Linked DNA regions of Saccharomyces cerevisiae S288C. Changing the gene in region 3 together with the main gene of any one other region gives a genetic interaction. Each region holds a gene or a part of one and is shown on either strand. Other genes may lie near its edges. The genes, in order: ERV15, CBP4 and RGM1.

Evidence for each region.
Region 1: mutations in RGM1 (region 3) and ERV15 together harm fitness more than expected from each alone (negative genetic interaction), as found in Saccharomyces cerevisiae (2 studies listed by BioGRID).
Region 2: mutations in RGM1 (region 3) and CBP4 together harm fitness more than expected from each alone (negative genetic interaction), as found in Saccharomyces cerevisiae (2 studies listed by BioGRID).

The regions. Positions count from the first base shown.
Region 1 is NC_001134.8:643,864-646,618, reverse strand, and holds ERV15 (Erv15p), read right to left. Parts: upstream 1,070-2,755; coding exon 641-1,069; downstream 1-640. Other genes in the region: AME1 (Ame1p), read left to right, coding at 1-461.
Region 2 is NC_001139.9:845,247-848,081, forward strand, and holds CBP4 (Cbp4p), read right to left. Parts: upstream 1,160-2,835; coding exon 647-1,159; downstream 1-646. Other genes in the region: YGR174W-A (uncharacterized protein), read left to right, coding at 1,409-1,495; ERG1 (squalene monooxygenase), read right to left, coding at 1,687-2,835.
Region 3 is NC_001145.3:623,863-626,955, reverse strand, and holds RGM1 (Rgm1p), read left to right. Parts: upstream 1-1,788; coding exon 1,789-2,424; downstream 2,425-3,093. Other genes in the region: SSO2 (syntaxin), read left to right, coding at 1-35; MIN3 (Min3p), read right to left, coding at 1,059-1,145; YMR181C (uncharacterized protein), read left to right, coding at 2,876-3,093.

The DNA.
Region 1 (2,755 bases), on a different chromosome or scaffold from region 3:
AATTAGATCTGCGACTCTTTCAAACGATATCAGACCAAATGACCAGAGACTTGAAAGACATATTAGATATCAACGTGTCGAATAATGAGCTCTGCTACCAACTGAAGCAGGTACTTGCTCGAAAAGAAGATTTGAACCAGCAGATAATATCGGTACGAAATGAAATTCAAGAGTTGAAAGCCGGTAAAGACTGGCATGACTTACAAAATGAACAAGCCAAACTGAACGACAAAGTGAAGCTAAATAAGAGGCTAAATGATTTGACTTCTACTTTGCTAGGCAAATACGAGGGAGATCGCAAAATTATGAGCCAAGATAGCGAGGACGATTCAATACGGGATGACTCAAATATTCTGGATATTGCACATTTCGTAGACTTGATGGATCCATATAACGGACTTCTGAAAAAGATAAATAAAATTAATGAAAATCTTTCTAACGAATTACAACCAAGTCTATAGGGAATTGGTTCAAAAGATGTATATATATATATATATATATATATATGTATGTATATATGTATATATGTATATATGTATTACTTCCATACTAAGGAAGTTGTGTTATAAGGTCATTTTTATGTGGTAGACATACTTCATAGATATGCACAAATCTCTCTTTTTTTTTCCTGTTGTCGCTATTAGCTTATCAAATTTGCATCATTTTCAAGTAACGCTGTGACCATTCTGTAGAAGTAGAAAAAGAATATGAGAAGGTAAAATCCCAATTTTAAAAAGCATTCAATTTTGCATCTACCCAATTTTCTGAAAATATCCGTGGCGTCCAGTAGATGTGTTTTCTTGTAGACTTTACTTGCGTTATATGCTAGAACAGGGACATTCAAGAGAAATACGAACCAGTACCCGTTAAAAAGAAACAATGCAGAAATGAAAGCTTGTAGAATTGCCTCTGGTACACTCAACCTATTCACCCTCTTACACAGTTCGATTGAGTTGATATAGTCTGCTTCAAGATCACCATATAATATAGTAAAGTATATCTGGCAAATGGAATTCAAACAATTCAGTATAAGACCCGTCACGAATAGCGATAATCCGGTTCCTGACATCTTTACTCTTGGCTTCGAACTTCTTGGTGCCTGCAGTTAGTTTTATCTTTAGTAAAAAATGATAATGAAAGTGCTTATATGAATAAAGGTATTAATGTCTTCGTATTTAGCAATGTAATTGAAAAATCATTCGTGGCCCACGACAATATTTCCAAATTATCACAGCTTTCGATAGAAGTGAACGATTTTGAATTAGAGAGAGTAGTAGTGAGCTAGACGTACTGTGTTTTGAGAATTGAAGTTTGTATAGCAAAACTATACTATCATAATGCAACATTCAAGAAAAATAATGGTATAGAAACAAAAAATAACTCCGATACGGGGAGTCGAACCCCGGTCTCCACGGTGAAAGCGTGATGTGATAGCCGTTACACTATATCGGATAATAACTTATGTTTGATTTAACCTTAAAGATTTTCTATGTCAAGTTTAAACTGGAGGGCTTTCTATTGCCGAACAATCCTAGCTAAAGGCTTTTTTCCCTATTTACAGAAGAAAATGTAATGACTGAAGATTTTGAAAGGTCTCGTTTGATGGCTAGCAGGCTACACCTAGAATTACCCAATTCCAAAGGTTGGTCATCATAGGAAAACAACCAGCATGAACCTTACCCTAGTTCTCTTGCTACTATTTCACATCATCAGGTGATGTCAACTCAGCTTATTGTCAGTGACGACGGATTAGCATTGATACCTGATGTCATTTTAACACGTGTGTTGGATGGGATCCTATACACACCCAAAGAAGATGATTTTTACAACGACACCACCACCATGTATTATGTTTTTGCCACCTGGGGTGATCAAAGTTGGTCATCCTTCGGTTATGATAATACAGCAAGCCTGCAAGAGCACGAAAGATATGTTTTCTAACTTCTTGCCGAGCAGGGAATATTGGGGATTTGGACCGTTGGAATAAATGGGTCCTCAATATTGACAGGAGTCGGTTTTGGAATGAGAATTAACTATCATTTAGTGATGGTAATCCTATTACTAGAATATTATCAGATACAATGTTAGAGGACAATAGGAATACATAAAATAGAAGAAATAATGATGGCATTACATCGAAATATCGATTACACTATATCTTGGAGGAGAACTTTTTATTTTATTTTGTATATCTGATGCTATAGCCTCTAACAATAAGTTAATCCCAACAACTATCTCAATATTCATATAATCGTCTGAGAGATTGATAACAGCTAGTAATGTAGCTAACAGTCAAAAGATAATAAATGATTCATCTTCCAACAGCTTGCGGGGAAAGTTTTTCACACTAATGTGCGGTGTTGTTTTCCTTAACAGGCTCTGAGCAAAATATGGAGAGAGAGGTCTCATTTACTTTGCCATTCTTCATTTAAGCTTGAGGCTTGTTCTACTGAAATGTTAAGTTCTCAGAAGCCAACTTTGGATCAAAGGGCTTTGTTAGTAGCAAAACGCTATTTCTATTGATTTTGATTATTTTTCGAAACATTAAGAGCACAATGTATATTAATTTTCCCTGATGAATAGTTAAGATGATTAGATGGGCTAGGCGCTTAAAAATGAGAAACAGGTGAAATTTGAGATAAATGTTGATTTCGTTGTTGCTAAAGGCTATAATATCAGGTATACAAAATATACTGGAAATATACCTCGAGAATCTTGGAATCCACGAAAGGGAATAGATATTACTCCATAATAA
Region 2 (2,835 bases), on a different chromosome or scaffold from region 3:
GTACCTAGTGTAGTAAGTATAAAGGAACCTTCTCTGTTGTATCTCAGAATGGGATACCTCAGTATGACAATACATCATCCTAAACGTTCATAAAACACATATGAAACAACCTTACAGCAAAACGAACAGAATGAGCAACATGAAAATAAAACTCTGCCTTCCTTAGCTAACCTACTCTAACGTATAAGTATCTGAACAATTGGTTTAGATCCAAGATTCCGCGCTTCCACCATTTAGTATGATCCATATTTTATATAATATATAGGATAAGTAAGATCCCGTGAATCAAGCTGATAAACCGTTTTGACAACTGGTTACTTCCCTAAGACTGTTTATATTAGGATTGTCAAGAACCTTGACATTACCCCATTGCATGATGCAATAATCTCATATAAATAACAAGCGCAAGTGGTTTAGTGGTAAAATCCAACGTTGCCATCGTTGGGCCCCCGGTTCGATTCCGGGCTTGCGCAATGTTTTTTCCATCCCCAAGTATGGGAACTAAAATAGCTAAAAATAAGTATGAAGTTATATTTTTAAACCTATTTACAGTGTACAAATAAATAATATATCATAAATGACACAGACGTATGTTTTAGGATGCAAAAGTTCAAGCTGCCCTTCCTAATTGAGTGACCCGACCCATCTACCAGAAGCGCCACCAGCTTTTAACCTGCTTATCCTGGACTATTTCCTTTGTTTTCTCCTCCGTTTCAGATCTTAGCTGAGACAGTTCATTTCTGATCCTAGCCAACTCTTCTTTTTGCACCTCCTCCGCCCTCACCTTAGCAAAGTGATCTCTGCTTTGAACGTTATCACCGTTCCTTTCCCAAGGTGATTGAAGGGGGCCCGTCTTCCAAATTGGATCGTCACTTTGAGAAGTTTCCTTAACAATTTTCATCAAAGCCTGCTGCTCCGACTGACGTAGTTTTTTCTCCCTCTCATATTGTAAACGTAATTCTGGGGAAAGCTGGCTGATTAACTGTTGATCTGTTGGCGTTGTGTACTTGAAAAGCAGAAACCCGCTTCCAATAATAGCGCCACCAATTGCATAGACTTTCAACCAACGTACCCACAATGGTCTTTCCATACCCAAATAATGCTTATACTGTCTTTGTTTTGCTATTACTGCCTCTCTAGGAGTTATCGCGCACTGCATGTATATAAAATTTTATCTTGATAAAATACCCCGGGGGATGAGCAAAAAAAGGGATATGGGGAATGAAAAGTGAGATAAACTAGCAATAATCTATTCTAATAAGTAGAACATTCACAAAGACTACTATGGTGTAATTCTGAAAGGATTTACGAGAGCACAAATACTATTATGTATAATTCTGACTGCAGAATCCGGCAAGCTTGATTTAATATCACTTAAGGAAGTAATATCGTTAATTGATAACCGAATATGAATCTCAATGCATATTTTGAAGCATATCAAGCCATTTTTCCTTTTCTGTTGGAGGCATTTTTAAGGAAAGAACAAAAAGTATAAAACACTTCGGTTAATAATAAATGATATGTGAATTTTTTTGAAAATATGTAAAATAAATAAGTAATAAATAAAAATAAGATGTGTTTATCGTAATGTACTATACAAGCCTTCCAAGCCGACTTCTGTAATAAAAAAAAAAGGTGCAGCTTAATGTTTGACGGTTCCTATCCTCTCTCCCTTATAAGCTGTAGTTAACCAATCAACTCACCAAACAAAAATGGGGTGAATACTCTAATAGCTGTGATCAAAATCATAATACCTTCCAATAAAGCCATTGGTAATCCCAAGAAACCACGTTCTTCCATGTTCAAGTAAATGGTGTAAAAAGCGACAGCGAAGAAAACCCTGGTCAATTGCAAAGGCTTTGGCAAGACACCAGACAGAAATTCAACGGGTTTGTTGACACAATCGCCACCTCTTTGGAAATATTTGAAACAACCTTTTTGTAATGCCTTCAAGTTATCGCTGTCAGCAGCGAACAAAGAATACAAAGCCACTGACAAAACGTTAATAACGGAATCGTAACTCTTTCTTTCGAAATGGTAGTCTAGTAATTCATCCAAAACCTTTTCACGGTCGCTGAAGTCTAGGTCACCTATTTTCTTAATCAACAAGACAACATCATGCAAACCGACAGTCATACCACCACCAGTCAATGGATGTCTCATATTTAGAGCGTCACCGATAACACACATACCAGTGACGTCGTTTTGTCTAGCTGGCAAGTAGGAGTTTGGCATAGCTCTAAATTTACCTTGGCTGACGGCTTCATCAAATGAAGGACGTAGACTCTTTGGAATGAAAGGTTGGACATCCTTAATCATCCAACTCTTGATATCAGCTGGGACCTTTGGAGAGTTGTAAGCACAAAGGATTCTTGTTTCTTCTGGACTGATTTGGTAAACCAAGATTGGCATATGATCACTACCAAGAATAACGTGACCGTGCATAGGAGCAGGATTCTTAGCATTGAACAAAGACATACCGACAAACGAAGAACCGACAGTTGGAACATGGTCTGGGTGCAATTCCTTTCTGAAACGTGAAAAGATACCGTCACAGATAAATGTCAAGTGGGCTTTGAATTCCACCTTGCCACGGCCATCAATGTCAACCTTGGCACCAACAACCTCATTCTTTTCATCCTTCAATATCTCAATACAGTTACCTTGCACTCTAGTAACATTTGGCTCTTGAGCAGTAATGTTTCTCAAGTTGTTCAAGAATCTACCATGAACAAAAGCAACACCCCTTTCTCTTTCATCATCTTCGTAATCCTTGATGTGAATAGTGCTGTCTTCCAAGACCTTGTCATTACCATCTTTGACCAAGTCCTTCAA
Region 3 (3,093 bases):
TGGTTGTTCCATCCGTTGTGGAAACAAGAAAGTAATAGAGCACATGCGCCTCCCTCCCGCCAGCCCCCCAATTCCTATTATGTGTAATCAAACAATTTCTATTAAAACCGAAAACCTAAAAATTGTAACGTCTTTTCTCTTTCCTACTATACCCTCCTCATACCTGCCTTTTTAACAATTAGTATTATAATTTTTTTTTTTCACAAAAAGACAATACCGACTATCTAATAAATAATTTTAATACGTATGTAATTTCGTTAAGAACAAGAATTTTTAAGTAAAAAATCTTACTTTTAAGAAAAACTGTCGCCCTTAATATTAGTCCCAATTTTGTAACGAAAAATAAAATACAAATCGGGGTGGAAAAAGGGAAATTTTACAACATTATTATTCCAAAAACTAGTTTTCAAAAAGTAAATCGTGGGGGTATGAACAACAATTGTTGTAGTCGCAACTACGGTAATTGGTCCTAAAAAATTATTCTCCGGGAAAAAAAGAAGAAACAAAGAGATCCCGAAACATAAGTCCCGTGATTCTTTTTGCCCCCCGCTTTCTTTCGCCAAGAGAAGAGCAATTTATTGAAAGGCTTTTCTTGATGTTTTTGGGTTGTGAAAGCGTTAATAGCGCCAAGTTAGAATAGTAAATATCACAACTACAATATCTACACTTCTCACTTGCGCATTAACCTGCACACGTACTAGACTTTATCTGTCTTGATTGTTACTTCTAGACCAATCAACATTGAAGCGCTCGGCAAATGCTTGACAAGAAAAAAAACTAATTTTCCCTTCGCCTTTTATAGTGCCCATCGGATAGGATATTCCATCTTTGTCTTGCGCCCACTTCGTTGTCGTTACCCGCACGTTGTGTTTTTTGAGGGCTTGAGCAAATTCTTACAGTTAAGGTACAATAGTTGTCTCGAAGAGCAGTACATCAACGGCCTGACGACCTACAGTAGCACTTTCCTTTAAGTGTATATAAACTTTCCTTTTCGGTAAGGGATGCAGGAGAAAGGGCGAGTTTTGTTTATATGCGATCCTTTATGGTAACCTTTGCGGTTAATTCAGCATTATGGTTGCTGATGCACACTTAACGAGGGGAAGAAATATTATGTTACATGCATGAAACGCACTCGGTTTTCTCATGGTCTTTCTTTTTTCGGGATTTCTTTTAATAATATCTTTAAAGTATTACTGGTAGTCGGTCTTTCCCCACACAAAAAAAATTAAAAAAAAAAAAAAAAAAAAGAAACTTTCCGGCGCTCCTTCAGGAGTCTCGTAACTGATGCTTTTTCTCTTCCTAATATTAAGATAAAAAAAAAATTAAACACCGGTAGCAACTTCTCGAGCCATAGGGTCCTGCACACCCTGCCATGTTACCGCACGGACCATTAAGTTACGTGGATGCCGGACTCTCAAGCCATGAAAAGTTTATCTTTATTTAAGTAGAGTTTTTCCTTCTTCTCAAATTTCTGAGAATTTTTATCTTCGATCATTCCCTCTTTTTTTCTTTTTTTCTTTTTTTCTTTTTTTCTTTTTTTTTTCCCTTCTCTTACTTTCTTATTTTTTTTTTTCATTCCTCAGCGGATCCCTTCAATCGTTTATAACATTATTTTCCTTCTCTTTTCTTTCATTGTATCTTCTTGATTTCAACTATTGTTTGTGTGTATATGAACAGACGCCTCCTTCTCTTTCTTTCGTGTATTCTTGATTCAATTGCGACTTCATAGCACTATTCCTCCCCACTCACGTCTATAGTCCAGGACAATTAGCATGACACTGGTTAAACATGAGAGGAAAACAACCGAAAAGGAACAAAGACAACGCTTCTGTCAAGAGAAATTATAGATGCGTGGGATATCCTGATTGTAACATGAGTTTCAATAGGACCGAACATTTGGCTAGACATATCAGGAAACACACAGGGGAGAAACCATTCCAATGCAATATCTGCCTTAAATTCTTCAGTAGAATCGATAACTTAAGACAACATCAATCTTCTGTTCATTCGGACGTTGATTTGATGTCCTTACGTAGACTGCAGCAGTCCGCAAATAGCACTGCGAACGACCCTAACGCAACAAGAATGTTCCCGCAATTACGCCCATATGGAATTGTTGTCCAGCCCGCGCCTGTTCCATACAATCTGCCCATATCAACTCCTGCTAGCCCACAAGACACTATATCTCTTTACGCACCACCATACTTCCCTCATCCTATGCCATCTGCTCCCATACCATTGCCGCATCAGCCTCCTCCACTACCAATATACAGCTATATGCAACCACTCTTCCTGAACCACACTCCCATACAAAACCACAACATTGTAGAGCTCCCTCCAGATAGCAGTGACACTCCAGCATCGCCGTCTAAGGTGCAAAGTTTTGACCAGGCCAAGGACGCTTCACCAAACGCAAAAAAATAAGCTCTACCGCACCCACTCCTCCATTTCACAAGCCGCATCATTGCTGCTATTGTACCCTCTTGGCCATTCGCGTGCGCGTTGATTGCCGTTATTATGCAGATATTTTGATATCGCTTGCCGTTTGGCTCATCTCCGCGCCCTTAAAATATATCCGCTTCTGTTGGGAAATGCCGAGCATAAAAATGCCGAAAATATAAAAAGAACAAGAACAATACCCTTCGAGGGAAACGCTATTTTCCTGTCCACACAACCTTAATTAATTCGCACGTCTGTGCCACCAAGTAGCAACTGGTTCGTATTGCTTTATCTTTCTTGCTTGTTATTACATTGCTGTAAGATAACAAGCAGCGTTTTACTCTACGGATTGTTTATAAGGATTTTGTTCCTCGACCCCTTATATTTACTCACCTTCCCCCTACTCTAATTCTCCTGATTTCAGAACAAAAAAAAAATGACTCCACTTTTGCAGGCGGAAGCAAAAATGAACACAAGCCTCTACCTTACGGAAAGCATCCAACAACATGAATTCAACCTCACCAGCCCTCAGTCATTCTATTCTTCTCCCTCGGTACCCAATAGTAAAAATAACTCGGGCATTTTCAGCTATAACACTGCCAACAACAGTAGGGTGAGTTCTAGTGATGAATTCACTACCCAACAAGACGGCAT